3 linked regions of the Arabidopsis thaliana genome follow. The protein of the gene in region 3 interacts with the protein of the main gene of each other region in a pairwise test. Each region holds a gene or a part of one and is shown on either strand. Other genes may lie near its edges.

Evidence for each region.
Region 1: the proteins of AT5G65320 (region 3) and AT5G10570 interact in a two-hybrid assay, tested with the Arabidopsis thaliana proteins (one large-scale study listed by BioGRID).
Region 2: the proteins of AT5G65320 (region 3) and FAR1 interact in a two-hybrid assay, tested with the Arabidopsis thaliana proteins (one large-scale study listed by BioGRID).

The regions. Positions count from the first base shown.
Region 1 is NC_003076.8:3,336,781-3,346,732, forward strand, and holds AT5G10570 (basic helix-loop-helix (bHLH) DNA-binding superfamily protein), read left to right. Parts: upstream 1-4,419; 5' UTR 4,420-4,576; coding exon 4,577-5,113; intron 5,114-5,355; coding exon 5,356-5,511; intron 5,512-5,733; coding exon 5,734-5,901; intron 5,902-6,010; coding exon 6,011-6,097; 3' UTR 6,098-6,299; downstream 6,300-9,952. Other genes in the region: AT5G10560 (Glycosyl hydrolase family protein), read right to left, coding at 1-156, 269-685, 773-1,123, 1,203-1,300, 1,411-1,577, 1,828-2,571.
Region 2 is NC_003075.7:8,608,359-8,620,649, reverse strand, and holds FAR1 (FRS (FAR1 Related Sequences) transcription factor family), read right to left. Parts: upstream 6,591-12,291; 5' UTR 6,377-6,590; exon of another isoform or gene 5,958-6,376; 5' UTR 5,845-5,957; coding exon 3,721-5,844; intron 3,625-3,720; coding exon 3,571-3,624; intron 3,451-3,570; coding exon 3,382-3,450; intron 3,288-3,381; coding exon 3,225-3,287; intron 3,133-3,224; coding exon 3,061-3,132; intron 2,973-3,060; coding exon 2,925-2,972; intron 2,834-2,924; coding exon 2,780-2,833; 3' UTR 2,480-2,779; downstream 1-2,479. Other genes in the region: AT4G15096 (uncharacterized protein), read right to left, coding at 1-54; catalytic LigB subunit of aromatic ring-opening dioxygenase family, read right to left, coding at 1,178-1,370, 1,444-1,823, 1,960-2,196; AT4G15080 (DHHC-type zinc finger family protein), read left to right, coding at 8,421-8,465, 8,551-8,664, 8,782-9,168, 9,248-9,316, 9,418-9,489, 9,570-9,698, 9,776-9,856, 10,196-10,396 and 1 more; AT4G15075 (FBD-like domain family protein), read right to left, coding at 12,131-12,291. UniProt on the Arabidopsis thaliana protein: Transcription activator that recognizes and binds to the DNA consensus sequence 5'-CACGCGC-3'. Activates the expression of FHY1 and FHL involved in light responses. Positive regulator of chlorophyll biosynthesis via the activation of HEMB1 gene expression.
Region 3 is NC_003076.8:26,103,348-26,113,094, forward strand, and holds AT5G65320 (basic helix-loop-helix (bHLH) DNA-binding superfamily protein), read right to left. Parts: upstream 5,380-9,747; 5' UTR 5,294-5,379; coding exon 4,895-5,293; intron 4,671-4,894; coding exon 4,269-4,670; coding exon of another isoform or gene 4,239-4,268; exon of another isoform or gene 4,231-4,238; intron 4,111-4,230; coding exon 4,021-4,110; 3' UTR 3,822-4,020; downstream 1-3,821. Other genes in the region: HB5 (homeobox protein 5), read right to left, coding at 82-494, 804-870; AGL78 (AGAMOUS-like 78), read left to right, coding at 6,979-8,004.

The sequences.
Region 1 (9,952 bases), about 23 Mb from region 3:
AGCTTAAACCGGTCCCAAAACTGTAAACTTGAGGTCCGGTATAGAATCTGTACGTTCTTCCTGGATATCCACGAGATGAATTGGCTCTCATGTGCATATCCGACATTGCCACATCCGTGAATGACTCCGGATACCACGTTGTCGGTAATCTACCACCTACACTTGAACCGAAACCAAAACCATATACAACCAAAAAGCTTTAGTATTCAGTTTCTGCATTTCATAAACTGGGATGAACAGAAGATGCTTTGATTTGCGATAGGCTAACCTGGATTGAAGTCTCCAAATATGATTTCAGCGAGTGCTTGTCCACCAGTTTCACCTGGATAACCAATCCAGATAATGCTTCCGATTCTCGGGTCATTTTTAGCAAACGTTACATCCACTGGTCCTCCACCGGTTAGAACAAGAATCACCGGTTTTTTGCTCACAGCAGCAACATGAGACACAAGATCTTTCTGTTTACCAGGCAAAGAAAGACTAACTCGATCCTTATCCTCGGTTTCTTGAGAGAGATCTAATCCTGCAACTACTATGACAAAATCCGCTCCCTTGGCGATGGCCACAGCTTCTCCAAATCCGGTATCAGAATCACAAGACACGTCTGAGCAACCAGACGCATAAGATGTCTTCTTCACATACTCCAGAAGTTCCGTGAACAAAGTCTTTCGTTGACACGGCTTTCCTTTACAAATATGACATTTATAAACTGTTTCAGCGAGGAGAAAAATTTAGCCTGCTTGAAAATAACAAGAAGATAGATAGTCCGAACCTGTATAAGTACCGCCCATATTGCTTATATTATTCGCCATTGGACCAACGATTGCTAATGAAGAAACATGGTTTTTGTTCAAAGGCAACAACTTGTGATCATTTTTCAGGAGCACGATACCCTGTCTTGTTGCTTCCAGTGCCAATTTTCTGTGGTCTGAGCTACAAATGTCATTTGATCCTAACTTTCCGTACTGTCCTCTTCTTGGATCACCATCAAAAAGTCCAAGACGAAGTTGAACAGCAAAGAGATTTAGCAGAGCTCGGTCTACTAGTTCTTCGCTCACCTTCCCCTGCTCAATCGCAGATTGTGTGTGCCGAAGCATGTATGTTCCACAATTTATATCCACCCCTATGAATTCACAATCTCAGATTTCATTTTAAGACAACCTATTTACAAGTTAACAAGTGTTAAAAGAACTCAAAAGGACCTGCTTTTATGGCATCAGCAACAGCTTCCTCAGGTGACTTGGTATATCCTTGGTACGCAAAAATAGTTGCCACAGCATCACAGTCTGATGTAATGTACCTGCACAGATACAAGAAAAAGACTCCCCGGTAAATCTTTCATTGGCCGAACCAAAGCATCACAAACAAAAATCAGGTTTTTCTCTCCTTCCCTGTTGAAGATTCACTTACCCTTCAAATCCCCACTCAACTCGAGCTTTTTGTAATAAGTCTCCTTGCGCACAAGCAGGGACCCCATTAACTGCATTATATGAACACATCAAGCAGCTAGCTTTACCATCTCTTATACAAGTCTCAAATGGGGGCTGATATGTGTCTTCCATGTCCTGTTCTGTGACCTACTAATACAGAGTAAGCTAGACTCAGTGTTCGACACAGAACCATGGAGATAATGCAAAAGCCAGAAGCAATATAACTAGTTAAATTCTGTTTCATGAACACCAAAGAAAGGTGCATTCAATAAAGTCTATAGATTTAATTCTATTTTAGGTCAAACCTGATCCACTAAACCTGAGAGTTCTCAATTAAAATCCAATTGAAGTTGATACACAAGCTACACATAGTGAAGAAAAGAGTTCTTAGTCTTACCACAGCATTGAAGTCGTATCTAGTGAAATTCCCCCATTTTTCCAAATCATAGGCAGTGAAATGCTTACAACAAGCAGATAACATGAGCTTCCCATCAGCATCATCATCATGACGATCATCATCAACATCATCACTAAATCTTCTTTTCAAAACCTTCCTTTTCTTCTTCTCTTGAAACCCTCTAACGAACTCAACTCCATACTCGGAAACTACCTTCGGATCCTCACCAGGAGTCTCCTGTCCTCTTCCCCATCTCGGATCCCTAAACACATTTATATTCGGAGCCCAAAACGTCAACCCAGCTTGACCACCGTTGTACATAGCCCGACCTTCCACCGCAACAGCAGATCCAATCTCGTACCATAGCGTTCTATTGAAAGATGCAGCAGATACGATTACCTGAGGAAAACTAGTAGCGGCGGAGATCGAACCGTTGAAGGAAACTCCGGGACCGTTATCGGCGAGTCCGTGTAAAGACTCCGACCACCACTCGTACGGAGGAATACCGAGACGGGGTACTGAAGCAGCTGTGTTTGAGAGCTGACCTATCTTCTCTGGGAGCATGAGGAGGGAGACGAGAGAAATTGCTCGTTGTTTTATGGATAAAGAGACATTGCAGAAGGGATAAGAGCTAAAATGAGGAGGTTTACAAGGGAACTGTGGATGAGAATCGAGGTTTTTGAAGGTTTCAGCTATGGCGGAAGTGAAGAAGAGTAAGGAGATTAGAGTCAACTGAAGATTCATATTTTGGAGGAAAATAAATCTGTAGAGAAGAGTGAAAAAGGAAACTAAAAGGTATAGTTTTAAACCGAACTAAATAGACCGGTAAAATCTAAATTAACAGTTGGACCGGTTGGTTCACTGCTGTTTCTTGTTACTTGTCATTTGACGGACGGTAGAGGGGCCAAATCATTATGGGCCTTTATCTAATCGATTTATAGTAATTAATTAAGATCAGTGAACATTTATGAATTGGGGCTTTATCTAATCAAGGTCTACAATTTTTGTAGACTAATGCTTGAATAATTTTACTTTTACAAATGGGTGGGTTTCAAGTGTCTCTAGCTAGTTGACAAAAGAAAACATTAAATTTTATTTTAAAAAAATTAAAAATGATAGTATTTTAAAATTGTATATAAATTTTTTATTCACAAGGATTTAAAAATATTAATTGTAAATAACAAAAATTTTAAAACCACCAAATTTTATGTATTGTAGTTATATTAAAAGTCAGAATTATTTACTTTGGTGTAAAACTCTCTAAAATAAATGAACCGAAAACTCAAAACCCAATATTGAAACTTAACTAACAACCCCAAAATTTTCAAATATGCATCCATAGTGGCTTAGTCATGGTCACATAGCACATAATGGCTGAAGCTTATTCACGTGTTTCATCTTTTCTTATCCCTGCTTCTGCTTGCATGCATTCACCTTGAAAATTGTGTCATTTTTTTCTTATGGTTGTTACTTTATTTTATTTACTAAACCTTTGTCAACCCAACTGTTGATCCCTGGTTTTAGTTAAACCAACAATTATTAGGATAAACACATACTTTTTAAAAAAAGTCAATGGGTATCCAAGAATGATTAGTTTAGAAATTTAAATATATGAAATTTTGTTAATTTTCAATTTAAATGTTGAGAAATGAAAACAATGAATTGTCAAAGAAAAGCAACTTATATAATGCAGACAATAATGATATCCGATTGAGTAGTAAATAATGGAGTGAAGATAGAGTAGGAGACAGTGTGTGTCCACAAACTCTCACGCAACTCGCTTCTGATATAAGAAACAAATTTCTTTGACTTAAGCCTTCTTCGATCTCTTTGACCTGTCAGTCTTTTCTTTTTCCATATTAATACAATCATACACTGATACACCACAATGTAATAATTTGCGGAATTATGTCTATTAGAAGAGACACGGGTGTTTATTTTTTCCCGTAATTGATCGATATCGTCGGATACGAGTACTTTTGAAATGGCAAAAACTCACAATAATATATATCTATTCAAGATTTTTCCATGTTATTAACGTTCAGTGCCAAAAGCCTATCCAATAATAATAATAAAAAAGCAAATATGATGGCAGCTTCTCAATCTCGAAATCTAGACCATTATCTCTTACTTTTGTAAGCATCTGATTATTCATATTTGATATTTCTAATATTAAATACCATTCGTATCATATACATAAGTTGACTAAGGAAGAGAGCTAGATGATGATGTTCATTCATTTTGGCCGGGACATACTTTGTGGGTCAGATCATTTTTCCGATCAAAGAGAACGTATAAATTACTTAATATCGTCACTGAAAACGAACCATCAATAATAATACGATTCAGACAACAACACAAAAGAAAACGATATTAAGTAAAAAAAAAATTTCATCAATCTCAGCTTATGCCTCATAGGTTGGTGCTGGACCATGGATCAAAAACAAACACACTAAATTGTAATGTTTTCTAGTGGATCTCTCCTTAAACAACTAGACAAAACTACTTATTTGTATATATATTTTTAACTATTAAAATCCACTTTTTATGTAACAAACAAGTCATAAATATACATATGTCAAATGGAATAAAGTAATTCTAATCAGTTAAAAAGTGAATTCTTCATTACAATTCACACTTATGTAATGCATTTACATGCATTTGTATCTTCTTTGACCCCAAGCTCACAAACTCTGTTCACTTCCACTTTCACAAATAACAGAGTTTCAGAAAATAGAGAGAAAGAGAGATGGAAACGGAATTGACGCAATTGAGAAAACAAGAAAGCAACAATCTCAACGGCGTTAATGGAGGATTCATGGCGATTGACCAATTCGTCCCAAATGATTGGAACTTCGATTACCTCTGTTTCAACAATCTTCTCCAAGAAGACGACAACATTGATCATCCTTCTTCTTCTTCTTTGATGAATCTAATTTCTCAGCCACCTCCATTGCTTCATCAACCACCACAACCGTCGTCACCTCTTTATGATTCTCCGCCGCTCTCCTCCGCTTTCGACTATCCTTTTCTCGAGGATATCATACACTCCTCTTATTCTCCTCCTCCATTGATCCTTCCGGCTTCGCAAGAGAACACCAACAATTACTCACCATTGATGGAGGAAAGCAAGAGCTTCATAAGCATCGGAGAGACTAACAAGAAAAGGAGTAACAAGAAGCTTGAAGGTCAGCCTTCGAAGAATCTTATGGCGGAGAGACGGCGGAGGAAACGGTTAAATGACCGACTCTCCCTGCTCCGATCCATTGTCCCTAAAATCACCAAGGTCAAATTCCATAAACCTCATCCTTGTCACATGTTATATGGTTTTTATTTTTAAGTCAAGAAGAAATATTCTTCCTTTTTTGTTAAGTTCTTAACGTTACATGTATGTTTTCTTCTTGTTGAAATCTTTTTTTTGGTACACTGTTCACTGATAAAAGGTTATTGCTTTTTGTGAATCTGCATAGAGTTTGTTGTATGAGAAAATGTATATAATTTTTGATGATTATTATATAATAAAATCAGATGGATAGGACATCGATACTAGGAGATGCAATAGATTACATGAAGGAGCTTTTGGACAAGATTAACAAGTTGCAAGAAGACGAACAAGAACTTGGAAGCAACTCTCATCTAAGCACCCTCATTACAAACGAATCTATGGTCAGAAACTCCCTAAAGGTAAAAGCTAAAAACAAAACATAATGTTATTATGGTATTTGTGCTTCAGTACTCATAAGTCTTGTGTTTTTACAAATTCATCCCATTACAAATCATTTGTTACAAACACCCTCATCATATACTTGAATCAATTTGATTCCCATTAGATATCACTCAAAAAATTATAATCACTTGAAGGTGCAGACAATTTTTCTGGCTATAACGAAAACGAATCTTTTGCAGTTTGAAGTAGATCAAAGGGAAGTTAATACGCATATTGATATATGTTGTCCTACGAAACCGGGTTTGGTTGTATCAACGGTTAGTACATTGGAGACTCTAGGATTAGAGATTGAACAATGTGTCATTAGCTGCTTCAGTGACTTCTCATTGCAGGCTTCTTGTTTTGAGGTACAAATATTATTACACTTTGATTTAGCCTTACTTGGTGCATCGACAAATTAAATGTATATTCTATAATTATTTTCTGTTATATTCTGTTTTTTTCGTATATATGTAGGTTGGTGAGCAGAGATACATGGTTACTTCGGAAGCTACTAAACAAGCACTAATCAGAAACGCAGGTTATGGAGGAAGATGTCTGTAGGGGAGCTTCAAAATTGCAATGTTTTTTAATGATGATAATATTTTCCGGTTCTTCTTATTCTCTTGTGATGAGTATGATATTTCATAAGGAGATAGATAAATGGGAAAATCAAAGGTGTAAAAAGAACTCATTGATGTTTACCAATTAGTCTCCTCGACTGACCCCTCGGTTTCTAATCCGACTCATTAATAAAACATGCAAAATAGAGAGAGCAGAAATGTTAAAAAGAGTTTTCATTTGGGCCCAATAAGCCCTGTTATACTAAAGCCCAAATAAAGTCCACTAAAATTCTGCCAGCTTTTTGACCTAACGAGCTCCATCCGTTTCCTCTTTAAATAGCTGCGTCTAACTTTGAACCCTAATCAAGTTATCCGAGAATCGGCCACTCAAAGCTTATTATCAATCTATATAGTTCGATAGATCTCTGTGCTAATTTTTTTTCTTGCGATTTGTTTTTATGGTTTATGTGTTTTGGTGGTTTTTTTAATGTCAATCGGGACTGGAGTTTGACTCTTTAGCAAAATAACGATGCCATAGAGATGAATGCAGCGCCCTAAATAAAAAAGACCACAATCGGAGATCTATCTCAGTTCTGTCCGAAATCGATTCCCTCGATATTGGACGCTGAGATAGTTCTCACATGTTTTAATCTCTGCTTGTTTTTATTTGATTTTATGAATGATTATGATATGATTCGTAATGGGAGCGGTGATTCAGGCAACCTACTTGTTAATAAAACAATGACATGAGAGGTGTTTAACTGCTCCTAGATCAAATTATGCTTCTGCTCTTCAGACTTGCTGAGATTTTATCGTCTTTGAAGCTGGTCTAGTAGTCTTAAGCACATTCTTTCAATCTATATGGCTATTCCACTTTATCCGTCCCAATTCTGATGTGTTTACAGAAACCAGATCTTGTCTGATTGTGTTTCGTCCGGTTTATTTCGGATTCCTAAAGAAGAAGGGTTTCGATTGCACCTAGGCCCATTTCTACCGTCTATAGTTATTGTCATTGGTCTACTGGACATGAAAAATTATATTAATGGATATGACATGTCTATTTTACTAATTAGAGGAAAATATCTAATGTATCTGCACAATCCTACATAACATACCAGGCGATTGTGTTATGAAAATAAGATCTTTCAAAAGGGACAAATTTCTGTAAGAACGTCGTGTTATGTTATAAAAAAAGAAATTTTATTTTCCCTTGATTCCTATAAAAAAAAGAAATTACATAAGGGTTGATTACACATAGGCCCATTTCAAGCCTTTCTAGTGATGGGTCACTCGACATGAAAAAAGATTAATGGACTTTATAGGTCTAACCGCAGTCGTTGTAATTCTTGAACATAATAAGATTATCAGAGGATTTATTTTGATCCAAAATTTGTTTTTATACCTAACTTATCCTATATTCTATATGTTTAATGGTTTATAAAACATAGTTTGATAGTTTGATATGGTTATGCGTAAATTTTGAATAAAGTTTTATTGTCACCATTCAAACTTAAAATAATACAAAACTCATATAATAAAAAAAGGTAAAGACTGTAGACTAAAAAGAAAATAAGATAAAGTTTTTTTTTATAAAGACACCGCCACTGAAAACCTTAATTCATTTGGTAGAAAAAAAACAAGTTTTAAAATTTTGTCCACTTATCAAAAGAAATTTTTATTTTAAGTTTAAAACATAACTTTATAATAAAGACACAATTTGTTTTTGTTTTTGTAACTATTTATTCTGATTTAAAAATATTATAAACGAGAAACCAGATCAAAATAGCAGATAAAACAGGACTCTTTCATTCGTCTTCATTTTTAACACACAAATCTTAAATCACTTCTTTACGCCGACAAAATAAAAATAATCACATCTTACATATACAAATGTAAAATAGAATTTTTAATAGTAATCTGTAAGCAAGCAGGTGAATAATCATATAGAAACAAATCAATCTTAAGACAAAAATGTAATTATTTTTCTATTAAAATGAACGGTGAACCCAAAAAGTATGCACAATTAACTAAAAAGGAAAAATATGGGTAGGTTAGAGCACTAGAGGTTTGTGCGAGTAGGTTAGGTTTCGAAGTTTATACACTAAAATATATGGTCGAATGTGGACCTCACAATTTCTATTTGCTGACGAGAGCTTCCTTATTTGTTATTATACTCATATAAGATGAGCTGTTTAATAAGTTAATAAATCATAATTAAAGCAATCGTGTAAAAGATTAAGACATGTGAGTGCTTCATTTCTTTGCCGTAGTGTTGTTGTTAGTTAGTTATTGGGTCGCACGAAGCCACCACCCTCTCTCTCTCTTTTTCTTTGTCCCCAAAGAAGACAAATCTTTAAACGATTGGTTTAGGCCGTGAATACTGTTTTTAATTGTTGTTTTTTCTTATAGTGCAGATACTGTATTTAATTACGTATGTGTTAAATTTAAGTATTGGCACGATAAGAAACTTATTCAATTTCATTATTAATTAGACTATAAACTTGACTGGGGTCTAATTTTGTTTGTTAGTATCGTCAACAAAAATATTGTATATTAATTTCTTTTACCAAAATTATATATAAAAGAAAATTTCAACAACAAGCATGACCGTGTTGTAATACTCAAGAGTTAAATTCTGAGAGTCTTAATTAAAAACAAAACAAATGAAATGATGAATTGTATGTACATATATATATTCTGGTTTAAGGAATGTATGTACTTGGTGGATTATTAAATAGAGTTGTATAACTTTAAAAGTAAAACGTCAGATATAGCGTGCGGAATATATATACTATAAGCATCCGATAGATAAGTCGATTCATGCATGAATCACAAAAACTACACCCATTTAGAAATACAGTTAGGTATTTTATCACATGGAAAATTACAAGATAGTTCAATACTACTATTCCACAATCTTATAATTTGTTTCTCCATGAGTAGGCCTAGCTATCCATGAGCATCTATTCTGGCCAGGTTTTAAAAATGGGTGCCTAGTTTTCTAGTACTAAAATATACTACAATTTTATCAAGAAGAATCATCAAGATTTATTGGAACATTCCCTGAATTTTTGGGGGTCATGTAGGTTACTTTCTTTATTCGAATAAGCATGCACATGTTTTATAAATTGTGATGCGTATTTTGGCAAAAGTTTTCCGCAGCCCAAATAAAATCACTAGACCAAACTCGAATAAACTGCATGTATACATAGATGTTGAATTGAACTCTTAGAGATTCAAATTTACAATCGGTTTCTAATTAATTACGCTTCCAACTACGTTTTTGATCTGTCTTATTCAAAAATCAGATAGGGTTTTTAGACACTTCGTTACGGCTCCTTGGTTTTTAAAACCTTTTAAGGCTAAACCTGAAACTCAAGTGGTTTTGTCCATATCTCTCAGCTCAACATATTTATAACTATTATGTGTTTGGTATAAAGCATGCACATATTTTATAGAGAATTTGCATGTTAACGCATCTCTATTTGTAGAGTCCGTAGATATTTAATGTATATTATGTTATCTTCATAAAAATAGTGTGAGCAAAAGGTATAAAAGTAGTCGTATATGTAGAAAGGACAAAGGGTGTTTAATCTCAACAAGCACGATTTTTCTTTAACTACAAGAAATGAACCAACCTTTAGCCAATTGGGTCTGACTCATGTTCAAGAAACTTTAAAAGTTACTTTAATTTCTTTCATTTAATCATTTTTGTCATTAGTTTTATTAAAAAAATATTAGTGCACCTATTCCACGATCGATCGAGATCTAGGATCCTAAGGAGAAATGACCAAATTTTATGCTCGAGTAAACCCGTTTCCTTTAGATGATCATGATTAAAACCATAGTCGATGTA
Region 2 (12,291 bases), on a different chromosome or scaffold from region 3:
ATTCAACCAGCTCTCGTTTATCTCTTCCCACGATATGCGCCGACGACTCTTCATCGTGCAAGTAGCTTTGATCTCCACCGAGGACACGATTGGCTCTGATACCAGTGATAACGGAAAACAGAGTAACGAAATAGAATGCTTCGATTAATGAAAATGACAGATTGATACAACGTTCATGAAACGCGATATCAACTTCTCATCTACAAGAGTTCAACATGAAACTCCGGCGAACGATGAGGAACGATTCTCAGAGAGAATCCAAAAGGAAACTATAAACAACAAATCCAAAATCTTCTTATCTTCTGCAAATGATCTTCATTAGCTATATATCTCTGCATCTCGATTCTTCCTCTAACACTCCCATCGACCAATCTTCTCTTGCCACGTCTCACAGCTACTGTCTCCACTCATGTATTCCACGTATCTAACCATATATCAATGCCTAGTTTCCTATATCATTAATCTATGAACGAGTAACTGCGCAAGCGTGTTCAATATGTCAAACAAAATTATGTTATATTAGAAGTTTAAGTTATGCGGAATGTGATTTTTCTTTATGCTTTCGTTGTGCCACTCTTCCTTACAAAGTTAAGCATGACGATGATGACCATATTCTCACCCTTTGTTATGAGAAAAATGCAAGTGGTCTACTGGTCTTTATTGGTGCCAAGTTTGTGAGAAAACAACAGATCCGAAGAAAAGGCTACTATGCATGCTATGAGTGTGGAGTCACATTCCATATTAAATGTATACTAGGAAAGGATCCCTACATAAAATCAAGAACAATTATCGAAGACTGTGTCCATACGGTTGAGTATTCCTAACAATCGTCTCAGTCGACCTATTTGCAACAAATGCCAACGATGGTGTCGATACAAGATAGTATTCAAAACATCTGATGGAAATATGATTTGTTCGGCCATGGAGGTTGATGATTTAAGGGTTTATGTTAAAAACGTAGATATCACAAAGCTAACACAGAGATATGACAAATGGTTCTACGTACATTACAAACAACACAATTTATTGAAATTCACATGACATTCATATATTATAGTACATAGAGGATTTGTATTCGTATACAAGACAGGATTTGGATTATTAATTAAAGAGACATGAACACACACACACAAAAGCTTAATCAAAGACAAGTATAGGAGATGAAGATTGAAATGTTTCAAAGAGAAGAAGTGAAGCTATAAGAAGAATAAGACAAGGTACCAAGTTGCCAACTTGTATGGATTTGCTCTGCCTTTGCATCTCCACCTGCTGCACCCATCACAACATGTAACGGATACAAATGCTCGGGCCACGGATGCGCCATTTTCGCATTCGGAGCTTTCTCTTCCCACTCATTCACATCTCCATACCTAAAAAAACACATGAAACAAATCAATGATCTTATCATATAACCAAGCAGCAAAAAGGTTAAAACTTTCTAACCTTCCTTGAAGTAGAGAATCTCTAAGCCAATGATCAAACTCCAAGGCCCAAGGAACGGGTGAGCCATCAGTGATATTAAAGTCAAGCTTCCTCAAGTTATGAGTAGCACTTCCAGAGCCAATGATAAGAACACCTTCATCTTTCAATGAAGCCAATGCTTTACCCATGTTGTAATGATAACTCCCATTTTGATTTGATTGAACAGAGAGTTGACAAATGGGTATATCAGCTTCTGGATACATCAACATAAGAGGAACCCAAGCTCCATGATCAAGTCCTCTCTTTGTATCTTCATCAACACGTTTCATTCCTCCTTCTTTCATTAACAACTCTTTAACCCTTTTCCCTAATTCAATTGCTCCTGGTGCTTCATATTTCAACTACAGACAAAAATATCAAATCAAACCCAAGAGAGATGATTTAAACATTTAAAAATCAAAACTTTATGCATCCTTCAACGATCTAAGAGCCCTAAAAATCTGTTGAGACAAAAAGTTATATTTTTTTTGGTTTTACCTTGTACATAGGATCAGGGAAGCCAGAGAAATCGTGGATCGTGTTATTGCGAAGAACAGTGTTGACAGATGGGAATTTGGTGTCCCAATGAGCAGAGATGACTAAAATCGATTTGGGTTTTTGAGGAAGAACTTTTTGAGTCCATGATTTGAAGAATTGTCTCGCTTCCAAGGAATCATCTATGCTCAAAGTTGGAGATCCATGAGATAAGAAGAAGGTTTGATTCACTTTCTCCATTGAAAATTGAAATCTCTCGAGATCTTTGCCTCTCTTTTTTTTTTTTTGCAAATGTTTCTTTTGACCAACTCTATTAGTTTTGGTTCTTCCCCAGTTTTGATGTTGTCTGAATAAAGAAACCTTTTCTGTTTGTTTGTTTTGTCAAAAGGGACACACCTACATACGACAACGACCAGGGAATGTGTATTTAACCAAATTAACCACATTTAATCTAAAAATAACTTTTTGTTTCTACTAAATAAGTTGAAACCTGTTTTAACAATTTTGATTTAATGTGATCTCAAAATTACTTGTTTGACTAATACACAGAGGATAGATTTCTATGTGTTTAGATAAAGATGTTGTTACAAGTGCATCTATTAAATCTCAAGACATTCAATCAGATAACACAATATTTCATCCCACATTAATACATCATAAGGCAATCCCATAATATACAGAAACCAATTTAAGAAAAGATTACATCTTGTCATTGCAACTCAGCTCCATGAAAGATCTTGTGTTTTTCTCATGTTTGGAACAGCTTCTTGCAAATGTTTCCTGAGACAAAACTTCTCTCCAAAGTAATCAAAACGTGTTGCTACTATAGCTGCCTTGATGAACTACCAGGTAATTGGGCAGAACTCAAATGCTCTTCCTGGAATAACGAAAAGATTTAACGATATCAACACGTGTGGTTCGAGTACAAAATGATACTAAAGTAAAGACTTTATCCAGGCAGCTGAGACCTGTAAAGTGTAAGTGAAATTGGGAGGAGGTCTGAAATCGATTTGACCCTGGACCGGACAATAAACAAAAGATGTTAACAACACGATCATTCATAACACAGTTTTTAAAATCAGTTTGAAGGATTTTATAATGTACCACCATCCCAGACATGGCTTGCTGATTCGTGAAGAAGCTATCCTGCGCCGGTGCTATCGAATTCAGTTGTCCCTGAAGAGTCAAAAGAACCAAAATTCATGTCGTTGACTTATACTCTAGCACAGATTTGGGAGATTCAAGCATTTAAACTATATGTAACCTACCAGGCCTTGGATGGTTCGTTGATCTACATAGTAGCCTTCATGAGGTGGCTCCATTAAATTTAACTATATCCACAGTTTAAACAGGTTTAGTATTAGGGTTTATAATAGATGTCGAATGGCTTAACCAGGTTTGTATTAATCAACTAACATAGCATACCAGTCCTTGAACGTTCTGTTGAGGACCATAGTAACCATTCATGTCCATCGCCTCTGAACTTATAGTTTCCTGCACAAAATGTTAAAACTATAAGGCCATATATCCAAGACATCCTACTCTTAATCTCATAAAGCAATGTGCAGTTACAATGATCAAACTAATTAGAGAAGATCAAATCAAAGCACAAACCATTGGTTGCAAGCTCTGTTGAGATTCAAGCATTTGGCTAGCCTCTTGTTGTCCCTGCATAAGATCAATTTGAGTATCTTCTTTTTAACCTTTGAAGCTAAGAAAATGTACGTAGGTTTAGATTGGCGAGAAGCTTCAGTAAAAGCATACCTTTCTTTTCCTATATACAGTCTTCTTTTTTGTTGCTTTTACCCCAGCCATTACCTGGTTTTCTTCTTCGTGAGTACCATTATTAAGCTGGCTATTAGACTCAGTGATGTTGTTTCTAGCATTATTCATATCAACACAATTTTTCAGGGTCTCGACTAGTGTGCGCAATGCGATGTTGTAGTTTTCTTCTGACACACAACCTTCCTCACTCAATTCAGTGGCTCGACTACACAAATCGTTATAGCGCTGAACTCGGGTCTGTATCTGGTCTGCTCCTTCACCAGCTAATACTCCACTCTTAGCATCTTTTGTCCACCTTTTCAATATATACTGAGGCGGGATGCTGGCGAAACCACACATCTGCAGAATCATCAAAGCATGCCGACAAAGAAACCCTTTGTATTCAAACATACGACAGAAGCAGCAAAGTTCTGACTTAGTTTTGCTCCACGTTACAAGAAAGTCATCGTCTTTTTCACAGTCTTGAACTCTAAACGTCGCCATATTTTCATCTTCTTTTTCCTTTCTAGGATGGCAAGCGACAACCCCCAAGACCTCGACTTGAAATTTCTTAAATATTGTGTGGGTGTAAGTTGTTGCCATTTGCTTCTCCCAGGGCGAGGGGGACTTCAATGCAGGTTGCTTGTGGCAAGTATCGAAATCTGCAACAGATTCCTCTTCGTACCTATTCTGCAGAATCACACCGTATTGCCTCAAGAACTCTTTCAGCGTGATTTTCTTATGGATGTACTTATCGAAGAAAGAGTTCACACTTTCTGAACGTTGAGATGTCGACATGCCTGCCAGAAACACATCGCTCATAAATGTGGGCACCCACTTTTGGCGATGTTCATGCAACCATAGCAGCCATTCATCATTCTCAAGTCCAAACTGGCTGACCATTTTCCACCACCTCATATCAAACTCATCATCTGTCCAAGATCTGAAAATGCATTTGTTGAATTTCAGTAAGAAATTCTCGTGCCGTTTCATCACATGTGAGAAATATTCAGGAATCTTTTCTAAAACATGCCATAACGCAAAGCAATGACGAGTGTTTGGTAGGAGCTCTGAAACAGCAGACATCAAGAATTTATCTTGGTCAGTGAGTATAACTTTAGGAGCTCGACCACCCATTGCTCGTAGCCATGTTTTTATCAGCCACACAAAAGTCTCCATAGACTCATCAGCAACCAATGCACAGCCTAGTAACATAGGTTGGGAGTGATGGTTCACCCCAATAAATAAAGCTAGTGGCAACTTATCGTTAAACTTGACATAAGTAGTATCAAAGGATACAACATCATTGAAACTCAAATAGTCATCTCTGCTCTTGGCATCAGCCCAAAACAGATTTCTTAAACGTTGGTCCTCGTTCAGGTCTATAGCATAAAAGAATTTAGGGTTTTCTTTCTTGATACGCTTGAAGTACTCAAGCAGTACTTGAGAATCTCCTTCTTCCAAAGCTAGATACCTACCCTTATCAACCTGACTGCTGACATCGGTCTGAAGAAGAGACCCGATATTCTTATATCCGCCAGATTGTCTCGACATTTCAACATACATTTTTTTGGTCCGTTCACTAACCGCATGCAGAATGTCGATATTATTCTTCTCAGCTAACTTGACATTCCTCTGAATCCGGAAATGATAAGCAAGGGCAGGTAAAAGTTCGTGATTGTGATCCTTTACAAACTCATGAATGATCCATTTCCCATCTGGTCTTCTCTTCACATGCATACTAGCCTTGCAATCTGTTTTTTTCACAGTTGACCTTCGACTACTACTACCACTACTCTCAGACTCAGGAGTCACACCATATCTGGAACAAGCAAACTTAGCATCAATGAAGTCTTTAGTTTTCTTGGAACGTCTACTGTTTTTAATCGACGTAGTAAAACCCATAGATTTTGCATATTCCTGATAAAAGATATACGCTGCCTCATGGGTATCAAAGTCTATACCATTTCGTGGCTCAAGATCCAGATCACCACTAAATCCAACATCTCCACCTATATTGAACTCATCAACAATTCCTATATCTCTGTTACTATGCGGTTCAACTACAATGTCAACCATATGGTCATCCCCTGCATCACTAACCAGATTCTCTTGCAAATCCATCCTAACCTTAGCCACATATGGATTCACTAACACACTCAAAAGCAACTACCCCACTATGGGCTTCCATGAAATTGGAAACTGAAATCTTTCTACTAGATAATCCACCTTAGCACCTGAAAAATGTCACAACCAAACTTCATAAGAACCAGCGCGACATCTTCTACCTAAAAACATCAAACTTGAAACACACAAAGCAATATGAAATCAATGGAATCAAATGAAAGTGAAGAACTTTCAACAACATAACTTCTAATAGTAGAAAAGTTCTGTTTCTAAAGCCAAAAAAGAGTAAAATTTCACACAAATAAGAGAAGGAGACCTGAGAACTCAAACTAAGAGAGTCAGAGACAACATACTTCTAGTAGTAGAAAAGTTCTGGTTCTAAAATTTCAGTGAAAGAACTGAACTTTCATTAGTATCAGCATAAAAGACAGAGACTTTAATGTATCTTAAGAGAAAACCTGAGAATTCAAATGAAGAGACTACAAAATTCAGGAAATGTCAAACTTTTGGATTGGTGAGGGCTTTTTACTGTATTTTCTCGGCCACCCAGAGAGAGACAAAGGGAGGGAAGGCAAAATTCTGACGTGAAAAGAGCAAAGCAAAGAAGAACACGAAGCAGGCGAGTGGGGAAGCAAAAGCGAGTGAGGAACCAAGGAGCGTGAGAGGAGAAAATCTAGGGTTCTTTTTGGGAATTTTTAGGGATCTTGGATTATGTTTTTATTTTTATTTTTTTCATTTGTTGTAAATCTCTTACTAGCCTTTACTAATTAAACATAAAGGCTTTTTGATTGGTAACACGTGTAATGACATAATGACGTTTGTTTTCGACGCGATTTTTTTTCATAATCGCGTCTATATTTACGTTTGGCGTGTGAGAAGCATTGCTGATTTATGTATTCTTAGAAAAATTGATTATTTTAAAAGCATCAGCATTGTGATTTTTTACCAAAATCTCTCGCCTACATTAATAATAATAAAATAATAAACAATATTTTTTTAATTAAAACAATTTCTAAGAAAATATGAGAAAGTTTTTAATTTAAAAGATTTGAAAAAACTATTTTAAAAAACTCTTCAAATTAAATATTTTTTTTATTATTATTACTTTAGTAAATTAAAAACTTTGGTTAGAAACCACCACTACACATGTTCTAAAAGATTTTAATTTTAACTGTATGATAATCTTCTTTTCATACAGTTTACTATAATTTTTCCACATTTTTCAAAAGAGTTATGTAGTAAACTAAATTTATCATAACTTTTAATATGATTTTTACATCTATTTTTATGATTTTTACATAACTATTAATATCTACAGTTTTTTTTTTATTATAAGTTCAAATAAAACAAAAAATACAAGAATATTAAAATAAATAACATTAAATCTATTTTTGTACATATGAGATACATGCTTATTCTTATTATGACAAATCAAGTATACTTTTTTTTTTAATCTTTACCGTCATTTTTTCTATATATATGTGGGTATCTCATATTCTATATGTAATATGCTAATCAATTACATGATGTTGATGGCTTTCACATCAAAACAGAGCTGACATTTGCCACCAAATATAAATAAAACTGTAGGGCAAATTGTACGAGAGTTGTGCTCTGAGTCACTTGCTTTTAGATTTAGTTATGGAGTTACAAATGCAGGGTTTGCATCTTATCTTTTAATATTTTTTTTCTTTTCTACTCACATATCTTTTTTTTTATGTGGAGTGGAAGATAATTGTTTTTAATTCATTTAATATTTTTTGATTTAATTCCTTTTTAAACAGCAAAATCTTTTAATATTTGATTTAATTTGGCTAAATTCTTCTAAAAATCTGAAATTTAGACATTAAATAACTTTCTAATATATATATATTTAAGTATTACTGAGAACTTTTTAATATTATATAAAAATTATATTATTTAATTAATACTTTAAGCTACCATATTATCATTAATAATGGTTATATAATTTAAAAATAATTAAAATTTGCTACGGAAAAAAAGAAAATATCAAAGAGGTGAAATAGACACGTAAGCTAAAAATCCAGCGTTGGTACTAATAGTAACCAGTAACCACTTTCATTTGTCCGTCTCGCTCTTTTAGCCTGTCAACGCTTTTCTATTTTGTCTTTTTTCTTTCTTCTAAAAATTCTCTCTTTTATTCCTTCTTCCATTTCTCTCTCTCTTCTTCCTTCTCCAGTTACTTTGGTCTCCGCCATGGCTACACAGTAAGCTTTTTCTTCGCTATTCGACTCTAAATTTGCTAACTTTGAATTCGCTTAGGTCATCTCTAATTTCACATTCGTTATTTTTCTTTTATTTTCAATTTAATATATTACAGGAGTTTACTTTCCTCTTTCGTCACTTGACTATGACTGACCTACCATAGTTAGTTAGATAGGGAGAGATACGAAGACCAAGAAGATATTTTCTCAGCTTGGTTTCTCTTATATCCTTCTGGGTTTCGCAAAACTGCAAGCAAAATTGTCTCTTTTTACGATTTGCGGCGGCGTTAGGGTTTCGTTTAGATTTTGTGATTCGTGAGTGTGTTCAAGCTTTGGGAGGAAGCAAAAATGGTGAGGAAACATGGTTGGCAACTTCCTGCTCACAAATTTCAGGTCTTTTATTTCAACCTTTCTCTGATTTTCTCCAATTTCTAACATTTGGGTTTTAGTTCATTTGTTTCGTTTGGTCATGAAACAGGTGGTTGCGATTACGGTGTTCTGCTTATTGAGTGTAGCATACTATGCGTTTTTCGCTCCTTTTGTTGGAGGACGCATCTGGGAGTATATTCTTCTCGGTGTTTACTCTCCTGTGGTATGTACTAGAATCGCTTTAGAGAATGATAAGGAATTGATAAGAGCTAGGTAGGTACATGGTAGTTTTGCATATCTGATACCCTTTTGCTTCTTGTGTCATGTGTTTGTTTTGCAGGCTCTTATTGTTTTCGTTCTTTATGTTCGTTGTACTGCAATCAATCCTGCTGATCCAGGAATCATGTCGAAATTCGAAAGAGGTGCGAGTAGAGGTGGTGACTTACCTACTGCCAAAGATATCTCGAGAAAATTTGATGAAACGGGCAGCCACCTGCAGTCTTCCCCTTCGGTTGCTTCCAGGACTTCTACTTTACCAAACTCTAGTGTGAAAGGTTCTGTTGGAGATGCTCAAAGAGTGGAAGCTGCTAAAAGAAAATCTTGCTTTAATCCGTTGGCAATATGCTGTGGCGTGTTTGTTTATGAAGATTGTCGTAGCAAAGAAGAGACGGATGAGCAGCAAGGGGATAGGGAAGAAGCTCTGTTTTGCACGTTGTGCAATGCTGAGGTAATGTGTTAATATTGGTTTATGCTTGAAGAGTAAGAAGCAACTACTAAATCCTTTGTTCACCTTGGTTTTGTGACAGGTCCGTAAGTTTAGCAAGCATTGTCGAAGTTGCGACAAATGTGTAGATTGTTTCGATCATCATTGCCGGGTAAATTTCTTACTGTTATGATAATTAACTGTTTCTTGGAGTTGATTGACTAGAGTTTTATGGGTGTGATCAAATGACATAGCTGTATTTAAATGCAACAGTGGCTTAACAATTGTGTTGGTCGCAAGAATTATATGACTTTTATATCGCTGATGGCTGTCAGTCTTCTCTGGGTACGTATATTCTCCTGATATGCCTTTTCTCAAGCTCACTTTTTGCTTACCAGTAATCAATAAATCTTTCTCTTTCTCAGCTCCTTATAGAAGCAGGAGTTGGAATTGCAGTTATAGTGCGTGTATTTGTTAATAAGAAGGACATGGAAACAGAAATCGTCAATAGACTTGGAAATGGATTTTCTCGGGCACCTTTTGCCACAGTTGTTGTAAGTATTCTTAGTGTAAGGGTGAGCATCTATTGTTGATTTTCCTGAATCCTGATGTTTTCTTACAATTTATGCAGGGTCTCTGTACTGCTGTTTCCATGCTGGCATTGTTTCCATTAGGTGAACTTTTCTTTTTCCACATGCTCCTCATTAAAAAGGTGAGTATGGAAGAAGTCAATATGCTTTTATATGTTTGTAATGTATTCGCTTTACTGGTACTAAGACGGTATACAAAACATTCATTGTTATTTTAATCTTATAGTCAACATTATTCCCAAAATAATTGAGTAGCACATGAAAACGCATGCTCTTTGTGAGAATAGAATTTGGTTTCCCTTCATGAATCATGATTGAGACCATATGTTACATTCGTCTAAACCGTCTCACTGCTTAGAGGATGTTGTATATAATAAATGTCCTCTACTTCGTTTGTAATTGGGCTGATCGCATGTTCAAAGCAACGTGAACTCATTTTTTTTCCTGTTTAACACTAATAGGGCATTACAACTTATGAATATGTTGTGGCAATGAGAGCAATGAGCGAGGCACCAGCTGGAGCTTCGATTGATGAGGAAATTCCTAACGTGCTGTATTCTCCCTCTGGATCTGCCACGACCGGCTTTAGTGGTGGAAGCTCCCTCGGTCTACCATACAAAGGAGCATGGTGCACTCCTCCTAGAGTGTTTGTTGATTATCAGGTATTATTTGCTTTCCATGAACCCTAAATAGAACAATTTTCGTAGAGCTTCCACTGGGTCTCTGTTTAGTTATTGATATGTCCGCTTGATACTTGTTATCTATGTTACAGGACGAAGTGATTCCTCATTTGGATCCTCGGATGGTTCCATCAACCGTAGATCCAGATGCAGCTGAAACAGCAGAGAGGGGCAACAAGATTCCAAAGAGACCTGTCAAAATTAGTGCTTGGAAGCTTGCAAAACTGAATTCAAATGAAGCTACAAGAGCAGCAGCCAGAGCCAGAGCATCCTCATCTGTCCTAAGACCAATAGAAAATCGTCATTTACATGATGATGAACTTAGTTCCAGAAGTGGCACCATCAGTGTTGTAAGCAGTGTAAGCACAGAAGCAAATGGAGCTACGCTGAGTAGAGAGATAAGAAACAATGATCCAATGTTGTCTCATTGTAGAAACTCTTATGCTCCAAGCCAAGGTAGTCGGGACGAGTACGACACAGGGACCCATAGTATGAGCAGTCTCAGCAGTCCAAGTCATGTTCATGAGACCGTCACACTTAGTCCTCTCCCTCAGCATCATACAGCTGGCCACCGCTTCACTGCAGCGGCCGCGTCGAATTCTTCCCGGCCACCTCTTAATCAAGCAACTAATCACATGATCCACTCAACCTTTGATGAAAAGATAATGCAGAAAGGAAACCATGCAGATCCACTGCTTCTCCCTGCTCCTGCTGCTTCTCTTCTGAGAGATGTGAGAAGAACATCAGTTGTTTGGGACCAAGAAGCAGGTAGATATATATCAGTTCCTGCAACAACATCTGAGCCAAGAACCAGATTCTCCTCACAGAACCAGCCAATTCCTAGCTCACACATGGGTAACACTCAGAATCCAAGACCCGTTGGTCATCCGCCTCAAGATTCTTCATCTGGAAGGGCTCCACCTCCTACGCAGCAGCAGCAAGGAGAGAGACTGATGTATACAGGTGAATCAATATTCTTTGGAGGCCCCCTAGTAAATATCCCAAATAGAGATGGCCTAAGACACGATGGAGACTCGGGAAGAGAGGGACAAGACCGAATGACATTAACACTGCCTCGGGAAGCTAGATTCAAAAGAGACACTACCTCAAACCAACTTCCAGTGTTTGCTCCTGTAGGTACCCGCAAGTAAACCATCAGTCTTTGAAGGCTTTGATCTCGCAGATCTAAGACTGACATGACAAGGACAGGTAGCTTCTTGAGAGTTGAGGGTCAGAGTTTGCTCAACAGTTGCAGGAAAGTATCAAGGATTGATACCATTGTATGAATCTCTTGGATTTGTGATCGAGAGATTTGGGGATAAGTTGATGAGGTAGAAAGTAGAATCCTTTGTGATAATTTCTTCCACGGGTTCGATATTCTTAGCCAGATATGATGACTCTTCACAATTCGCTCTAAAGAACTAGTATTTGTTGTATGACTCTATGAATCTCTCTAACCTCTTTCTTTTATGATCATTACATTCATGTCTGCTATTTCTAAGCGTAAAATATTGTGATCCAGATACCTTTTAACAACTGATGTGTTACGTCTTTGGTGACATAATTGTAAGACACAACAATGGCTTTGTCAAAAGACTCGAAACCAAGGTTTTTCTAATTCGAAAATGTAAGAAATGTAAGAAGAAACTTCAAAACGATCATAAGTGAAAACCCTATAAATTGTAGTATATGAAAAACATTCATTGATTAAAATCTTCAATCAAATACGAGTTGGCATGTTGTTGAAGAAAGTAACAACTCCTGGATCATCGTCTTATGTTTATCCTCTGTATCTGGAGTAGACTTAAACAAGATTGTCGCAGTCTTTAAGCAACAAGCATTTCTCAAAATATATTTAAGCATATCTATCTCTTTCT
Region 3 (9,747 bases):
ACAATAATGGCTAAGATGGTTGTTTGGGTGTGCCTAGACGTTTAAATTTATTGACAAAAAAAAAAGTCACAAAGACTATACCTGTCCAAGGAGTGAATCGTTATCGCGTTGAAGCGAGTCGCGGTTGCGTTTGAGTGCATCAAAGTTTGACTTAAGAACGCCGTAATCACGTTCAAGCTGCTTTGTCTTCCACCGAGCACGGCGGTTTTGAAACCAGATCGCGACTTGGCGTGGCTGCAACCCAAGCTCTTGAGCCAGCTTCACTTTCCTCTCTGGCTCTAACTTGTTATCAATCTCGAAATTCTTCTCTAACGCTTTCACTTGCTCTACACCCAACCGCCGTTTTTTCTCCGCCGCCGTAGAAGACGCGTGTCCAACGCCGCCGAGGTCCTCTAGACTTCCGTCGTCTTCTAATGCGTCAAACATCTGGGAGTAGTCTCCGGCGCCGGAATAGAGAAAGCCGGTAGTTGTTGGTCTTGGGCTTATTTGTTTGTCTGTTAAAATCATTAATCAAGGTAGTACATTAAAAATAGTACTACTATATATCTAACCAATCTCATAAAACGGATAGTTTCAATCAAATAATGGAATATTTATGATGTCATGAGTAATCACAAAACCTTGTCAGGATAACGTCTCGATAGTATGAATTGTCAGAAAACATATATTTACTTAAAATGTTAATTAATAAAACACAATCATATAATAAAAAAATTCATTAGTATCTTTCTAATGATCATCAACAAACATAATTGCAGTTTCAGAATTGTATAAGAGTTTATATTACAAGAGTCTTATTTTACCTGTTGTAGAATGGCGAATTGGTAAGAAACCGGATAAAGAATCGGAGCTTCCACGTGATCTCTTCATCTTGTTTGGTCGGAACAATTGAGATCGAAAAGAAGAAGGAAATAAAGTTTATATTGAATGGTTAGATCAAGGCCTAGATGGTTATCGATTAAGATCTATCTACGACCAATACGTGAAGAAACGATCCTCTCTCGTCTCTCATCTTCTTTTTCTCCAAAGAAGGATCTTTGCTCTGTGTCTAGACTATCCATATAAGATGGAAACAGAGAATTGACTAATACTAAGAAATAGTCATCTAATACCAATCAACACCAAGAAAATATGAACTTTTAATTCATCAGGTTTTCTTGGGAAATATTAGTGAGAGATTTCAAAAGTCGTATTATTATTTTCCCCCGAGAAATGGAAATTGGTAAGAGAGAGATAGAGAGGGAGAGAGATAGAGAGGGAGAGAGATGGCTTCTCACCCCAACTCCGGGTTTTAAATAAGACGACAGGATAACCCTAGAGGAAGTGTTGGAGATATCTTGAGTTATTTCAGGAATTTCGGGGGATTTTTTAAACTTTGTAATTAAATGCAAAATAGCTTACAATGGTTAGAGTTAGACACCGGTTTACTCATGAGACTTTGGTCCAGGACGTGAATCATGACAATGCCATGGGTTTTCAGCTCGGCTACTTAGGAGCCGGCATAGATTTTAAAGATTCATTAAATTAGTTCAAAATCATTAGTTTCTACTTTATCATATAAAACACTCGTTGCTTTTTCATATACTACGACATAATTTTGAAAATTAAATTTTTTGAAACATATACTAACAAAATGATCAACTTTTAAATTTAACAGTTGAAAAATCATATAATAATATAAGATGTTCTCATAGTTAGCGTAATGATACAATAGTTAAAGTTAAAATTTGATTCCGAAAAAAATTTGATTCTATAGGATTAATAAAAAAACTTCTGGAGTCCCAAATTATGCAATTGCTACTTCGTTTTCACTTGTATTTTGTTCCTGTTTTTCTTATTGGATTGGTTGATGGCATGGTTAAAAAACAGTAAATTAGAGATTCAGGTCTCTCTACGGACTACAGTAGAGTTGATATTTGGGATATTTTCAATTAAAATGTCATAATCAATCAGTATTAATACACTGGACCAACCTTCGTTTAAATACAATAAATATAGACATGGGTCATGGGTGATATATATTGCAGATACACGCAACGAAATACTATACAAAACAAAAAAAAGTTGCAATAGTAGTCGGTCCAGTAGTTGGCCATGCAAATTGATTTGCTCTAACCGAAAAGATTTTTTAAAATTAGTGTCAATGTGTTTCAGCATTGTTATTAACTTATTACATTCTGATTAAGAAACGCAATGCAAGTCCCTAATACATATTTTTCTTTTTCTAAACGCAAGTTACTTACATATATAGACAGTCGGATTAATACATGTTTTTTGCTTCGTTAGCTGCTGCATGCTGACATATATATACATATAGGTAATAGTTGTACACAAATTTTAGTGTAATTTAATATTATATATGTGAAAAGAGTATGTGGTGTACAAAGGATATTCACACGCTGCAAAATATTTTTAAAATTGGGTAATGGGAAAGGAGACAAAGCTTTGATGAGATAGCTGTCTGTCTGTCTCTGTAACGATCTTGCCCATTTACTACAAAATGTATTATTTTAGTCTGGCAGTAGTATTTTTATAGATATATTGACAATAGATAAGAAACATTAAAAAAAAGTTCAATTACTTTGTAATTCTACAAGTAAATCGACTTTCTTTTTCACAGTTTGAATTACTCACTAACCTTTTTACCAACTGTTTTACTTTGTAGTTAATAACAAAAATTAAAATTATACAAATAATATATACTTTTAAGTGTTTCTGAATCAAACAATACAATTATACAGAGAAAACATCTAACAGTCATTTTGAGAAAATAAAATAAAATATAATATATATATATATATATATTTAATTGACAAAAGAAAGAGCATAAAAGCAAGGTGGGATTAGTAAAGAAAAAAGGTATTTGGAGTTGGGACTTTTTGTTAAATGTGTATATATTAGTAAAGATTAGTCATTTGTATTGTGACAACTAATATGATGATTTCGTATGTACCCATCTAAAATCTTAGAATAGAAAAATATAAACTAAAATAGGTTTGGTGTTTCTTTTAAATTGAGAATTATATAATCTTACAAACAGAGTTTGGTTGATGAGCTGGTTATCCTATGAAAGCAACTAATTCCACTAGATTCTTGATGTTCTTTTTTGTCTTCTAGAAACATTGATCACACGACATGAATGATCAGTTACATAATTTTCGAAAAACCAAAAATCTGAAATTTACCACCCCTTATATAAAATATCTATTTAAATATGTAGCTAAACAGGTAAAAAGGTCACATTACCAAACACCTTTATCCAATGCTTTTTAAAAATCCACCAAATATTATTACTCAAAAACATGTGTCAAATTTAAACCATAATATCACACATCAACAACACTACCATAAACTTTTATCAAACTATTATGCTACATGATTTCTTATGAAATTTTGATTTCAAAATGACATTTACCCCATCCGAATAATGTAAACTAGAGAAATTTTGTAAGTTGGGCCGCTCAATGAAGGCATGCTTTTTCAGATGTTTCGGTCACCGATACTAGCGTTTAATTGTAGACGAGGCTCGTTCGTATTTCGTAATCTACACGAGCTTTCAGTAATCTCGAGGAACAATGATCCGGTTATGCAAAATTGAATCGCATCCGCGTCCGGTTTTACTGATCTAAATACGAGATATGTTTCAAAGGCCCATTTCTTGTAATGAGAAGGCCCATCGTGTGAATCTTATTATATTGCGCTTAAAATTAGCTCTTCCATAATATTAAATATCTGATGTTTCTTGAATATAACCAAATTTTACTAGTGTATAAAAGAATACACAAATATTTTTTTAAAACTCAACTGATTACATATACTCATCAATTCATCATGCTTGTATTTTATATCCTCAATTTAATAGACGTCAACACAATGTTATTAACTCAGTAAACCAACAAAAAAAAAAAAAAAACTAAACAACTTTAATGTTAATTAATTGTATATATGTAAATTACACACATAAGAGATTGTTTATACAATAAAATAGAATTTCAAAGTTAGCTAGTATGTAAACAAAATTCAACGTTCCTTGTGAACTCTTCTAACGACTTCATGCACCGTATTTGCGACCTCATTACCAGAAGGCGTCAATTGACAATCTGCCTCTACCTAATACAGAGACCAATCATTTTGAGCATATATAGTTGACTTTTAAAACAAGAAGCCTTATTTTAGTTATTTCATATAAATTTATGTTAACTAACAACTTCTATAATCATATATATTATCTTTTTCCCCTAAAACAAGAGAGGAAGAGAATAGATTACCTTGACGCTAAAAGTGAAGAGAGACATGTCTTTGGAAGTTGTGAGGTTGAGATGAAGAGTACTTAAACCTAAAGAGTTAAACTCATTGATAATCTTGAAGAGCAATCTTGGCTGTGTCTTCGTTAACACTTTAATGTTGGCATGTCTTTCTACCATTGTAACCTCCACGTCAGCAACCACCTCTAGTCGCTTGTGATGGTGGTGGCTCGAGGAGGATGAGGAGGCAGTGGCGGTGGCAGTGGCAGTGGCGGTGGAGTATTGAGGGAACATGAAGAAGTCGGAAAATATATTTGGTGATTGATTGAGTTTAGTAGCTTTTAATTGGGCTTCGAGAGATTGGAGACGTTGTTCTAGCTTCTTCAGATAGCTAATGGTCCCTTCTATGATTGATGCTTGGTCATTCTATTATAGGAAAAACCCAAAAATTTATCAATTCGCAATTTTATTTAGTAATTGATTCAAAAACAAATATACTAAATTACTATTATTTAATTAACGGCTTACTTTTAATAAGGAACCTTAACACTCTTTGTCTAAACTAAATTTTAACCGAACATATCAAATTATCAACATTGCTTAGCCTGCTTATATCCTATAAGCTAAATTAAAGATAGAAAGAAACTCACAGGTTGAGAATAAGAGAGAGGCATCATAGACTTGAGGATAGACAGAAAATGATTCATCTGTTTTCTCCGGTTACGCTCGACGGCAATGTGATTCATCCTTTGATTCTCTTTATCTACAATCGTTTTTTCACTTCTCCTTCTCCTCTTCCGCGACAGAAAGTCACCGCAACCATATCTTTCTCGTAGAGGAGATAACTTTTCAGTTAAGTGAGATTTTTGCTCTGTTATGGAGCAGGAGAGTGTCGCTGATGAATAAGAAGAGGACGAAATGGAATTTTGCTGTGACGCCACGTCTTCAGAGTTCGAAACGACGATGTTTTGAAAGTAATCCAACATTTCGTAACTTAAGGATGTTTCCACGAGTGAAAAGCCATGAGGGTAATCTTGTTGGAACATCATATATAGCCTCTCTCTCTCTCAACCAAACGAGCACAAAAAGAAATGAAGGAGTTAATGCATAAAAGTTAATGGCTACGTTATCTTTTACACAAAGTAATGTTTATGCGTGTATTTATAATGGGGTCTTGTTGGTTTGTTTTAATTTATTAATCTTTGGAGGACTTTAATAATCAAATTTTCACGACGTTTATGTAAGAAATGAAGCCCTAGCTCTGAAGAGATCAACCATTTGATTAATTTTAACCCGATTTTACGCAATAAATTAAGAAACGAATGCAATAAATTCTTAATACTAAGATCAACAATTAGTTTATAACTTTATATTTTACCCGATTTTACGCTTTATATATCGTCATGAAATCTCTCATGTTTGACTAAGGGGTATTTTTTATACCATGGACTTTTTGCTCAAAACCTCAGTTACAAATAGAAATAAAAACTCTTACAATTGATGGAAAACAATCTATAGGGAGTTTATTTATTTATTGACTGCAATCAAATATACTATCAAATAAAGAAAATTGGATTATGAAATGAATCTAAAGGGATACTTCAGCAACAGATCCCACATAACATAATCCAATAAGAACGTTCAGAGATATACACAACAAATAAGAATGTTAACTTTCATGATCGCAAAACAAATCTTAATACTTTACCATTCAAGTAATATATTTAATGAGGCATAAACAATTTATATTTCTTTGTGATTGCCAATCACAATGTCGTTTTATATGATTGGTACATTTCATCTAACAAAGAAACGAGTCTATTTGTGAGTTGAAAATTCGTGATTTGTGGTTCACTATTGGATCGTCGTTATCAATCTGACATTAATTGTACCCTATTATATATATTGTTGTGTCTATAATAAGGCAAGCTGGTTACTACATTTGTCGACTTCCACATTCCCAATTATTGTGTATTTTCTTGACTAGCTAATACATATATAACAAGAATTAATCTTCCACAATATGAATTGTGATGCGTTTACAGTGGTAATTTTGCAATAAACAGAGTGAGTATATATATACCCTTCGAACATTTAGTTTTAATTATTTGAAGAGTGTTTTTATGTTAGTTATTTTTCACAACATTCTGATTGGAGAAACAATTTATAGATTTTTGAAAACCCTTAATTAACAACTATAACGTAAAAAAAAATTTGAAAAAAAAAGAAAAAAAAAAAGATAGAAGAAACCTAGAAATAAAATGAGTTGAAATCTTTCTTCAATTTTTTGAAAACCCTTAATTAACAATTAAGAGTTTTTTTCTTAGAGACAGATTTTCCTTTTTCCTCCAAGTTTTTGTTGCACAATTAATAATTACACAATCAAATCTATAGTATTTTTTTAATTAGATCTTAATTTTGTACAGCCTAAAATAAAGTACCATCGAGAAACTAATTAAAAGTTTCCTTTTTTTTTGGTCTCTACCATCGAGACATTAATTAAGGAAATCTACATTAGATATTGGAAATCGAATCGAATCGTAGGAGCGTAGATCTTCACGCCTCGCGATTAACAACGACGCGTCGCGTTTGCTTGTTCCCGTAGGCACCAAGGCATCTATATAAACATATTGAGTTCACAATGTTTCACCCTCAATTCGACAATACTTCTTCTTCGTGTGTTCTCTCTCTCGGAAAAAACCCTAGTTTCTTGCCGAATCAAGGCAAAGTCACGATGAAGCAAGCTTCTTCTTCTTCTTCGTCACGTAATTCAACAAGTTTAACAAATAGACTTAAAACCATCTTCAAGAAAGCTGAAGAGCTTTCGATTCTCTGTGCTATTGAGGTTTGCGTCATCTATTACGGACCAGACGGTGAACTGAGAACATGGCCTAAGGAGAGAGAGACAGTGAAAGACATGGCTTTGAGGTATAAAGAGGCCAGAAAACGCAAGAAGAGCCGCAATCTTCATGAGTTCCTCGAGAAGGAGAAGGACAAGGACAAGGGGAAGACGAATTTGAAGAAGAATTGGTATCCAAACTTTGATCATTACTCTCCTCAACAACTCTCTCAATTGATTCAGTCCTTAGAACGGACTCTTTCTACTCTGCAAGAAAGGCTTCGTATTGTTGAGGCGCAGAAACTACAGAACACAAACTTGGTGCATCAGAGTTTAACACCATCGTATCTGAACCAGACCCAACACTTGAATCCTAGCAAGTTCTCGCTGTTTATGTACAACCATGGAGATGCTACTCTCTCACAACTCCCACTGTCTGCTCCACACTCCAATCAACTCATCAATTACCAGAATCACTTGATGCAGCATGGTTTTGGTCAGAACATGTGTTCGGACAACATCACCAACAACAACTTTGAACATCCTGGCGTGTCAAACACACAAGACTACTCACCGTTACTTTCGGTACAAGCATCTGCAGTGAATAACTACGGGTTGAATAATCACTTGATGCAGCAACAGGATCAGCTTCATGGTTTTGATCAGAACATGTGTATGGTGAGTGAAATCATCAACAACAACAACGGTCTACAACATCCTAATCTCTCAAACACGGTTCCACATGAATTCTCTTCTGATTTCAACCAGAACCCTTATGGTAATGCGGTCGGTAACATTAGCTTCTCTCAAGACATGTTTTCAAGCTATGATGCGAGCAGTCTGCTACAGACATCTTCTCTGCCACCTCTCCACAACATTCCTAGCAGTTATTGTTTTCCTGGCAACTCAAGACTTCTCTGATAACAAAATCTGTCCAAAAGAATTTGTTTTTTTGAAGCTTCATTAAGAGTCAGTCAATAGTTAAGTAGCAAGCGGATCGGAGAGAGATTGAAGCTGTTTCTGCTTCCGATTTCTTCTGTTACTGTTTTTTTTAATATTTTATAGTGTCATTATAACTGCAAAACAAATCCATTTGTTTTTTTTTTTTGTTAAGAAAACAAATCCATTTGTGGAGATTTTGTTTTTACTTTTAAGTTGATACTTTTTTCAGTTAGTATTGACATATATATATGAACTTCCATAAAAAATCTTTCACAAAAACTTGCATGAAACAAATTATAATCTTAAAACCTTAATTCTTGCAACTTAGTATCCTTCTTGTCTGAATCAACTAATATATACAAGGAGATGGAGAGTGGATCTGAGTTCGTGAAGCCTCTAGACTTTTTGCAGAAGAAGAATCTCTGTGTAGTTTCTGAGTAATGGTATGAGGAAGAAGATAAAGATTGAGCTGATTGAATATCTGCAATTAAACTAGCCCTTGTGTTTTATCAAGAAAGTCGATATCACATTGCTCCAGCACTCCCCACTATTATCCAATTCTACAACAGCAACAACAATCCCAGCGAGTACCCAACAAACGATACGCAAAACCCACGAACCTTATCGCCGGAAGACCTCCGATTCTGTCGAGAGAGGAACACCACCGCGTAAAATAACCGGGAATTTGGTACGATTTTGTTTTTTATTTGATTTGGTTCGCCACAAGGTTAATTTGGTCTCAAAACTCAATCCTTTCACCAGGTTTTTATGGCCCGGCCCAATATTAATTTTTAAAGTCCATTTATTTGCAATAAGGCCTATTAGTAATACCCAATAAGCCGAAGATGCAGACGAAGACGATCATTATTGAGAGACATGTATGACGCGTTAAATTTACTTCAGTTTGTGTTTTTGAGATTGTGGTTGGTTAATGGTTACTGCTCAAGAACAAGAAACATAACATGGTGTGGTGTCAGATTTATCATTTTATGTTTCCTTCTTGCTACTAAGATTATATTACTTTTTGTTAAAGATTATAAGGATTATTACGTTATCACCCTGATTGAATAATCCAAGTTTTAGTTGACAAAACAAAAGGAAGAAGAATAATTCCAAGTTTTATGCAATATAGCTTAAATTTTTTGTTCCTCTCAAAATTCGATTATCAAGTTACAAAAAAATGTAATATTTTGCGGATCATCCAAAATAATGAGTAGAATTTTGTGATGTATTGATCTATTTCTTTGGCCAAAAACAAAAGAACATTGGAAAGAGACAGAGAAAGTGGCAAGCTGGTTGTCTTAGCTGTTCTTGATTCCCTCTAAGCAAAAGTATAAAGCTCACGAATGAATGAATAATGTTATAATACCAATAACTTATCTGGTTCTGTGTTATGTAAATTATTATTTTAATCGATAGTTGTTAGTGTTCTTGTAGTGATGGATTCGCCGCGTGGACTCTTATTATTCTCCCATGATGAGTCTCGACTCTCGTTGACCTCATCCCCACGTACGAGTATTTTTTTTATATCTACTATGGAGTATTAATTATTGTTGAAAATTTCGACAAATTAAAACTAGTTACAATAAACAATAGCCGGAACTTCTTCATTGTCACGAAATTTACAAGTTAAGTAGGCAATCCCATTTTTTTTTTCGTTGATCAACGTCAACCATAATTGTGTTTTCGCATTCAACAAAAAAAAAATTGTGTTTTGAATAA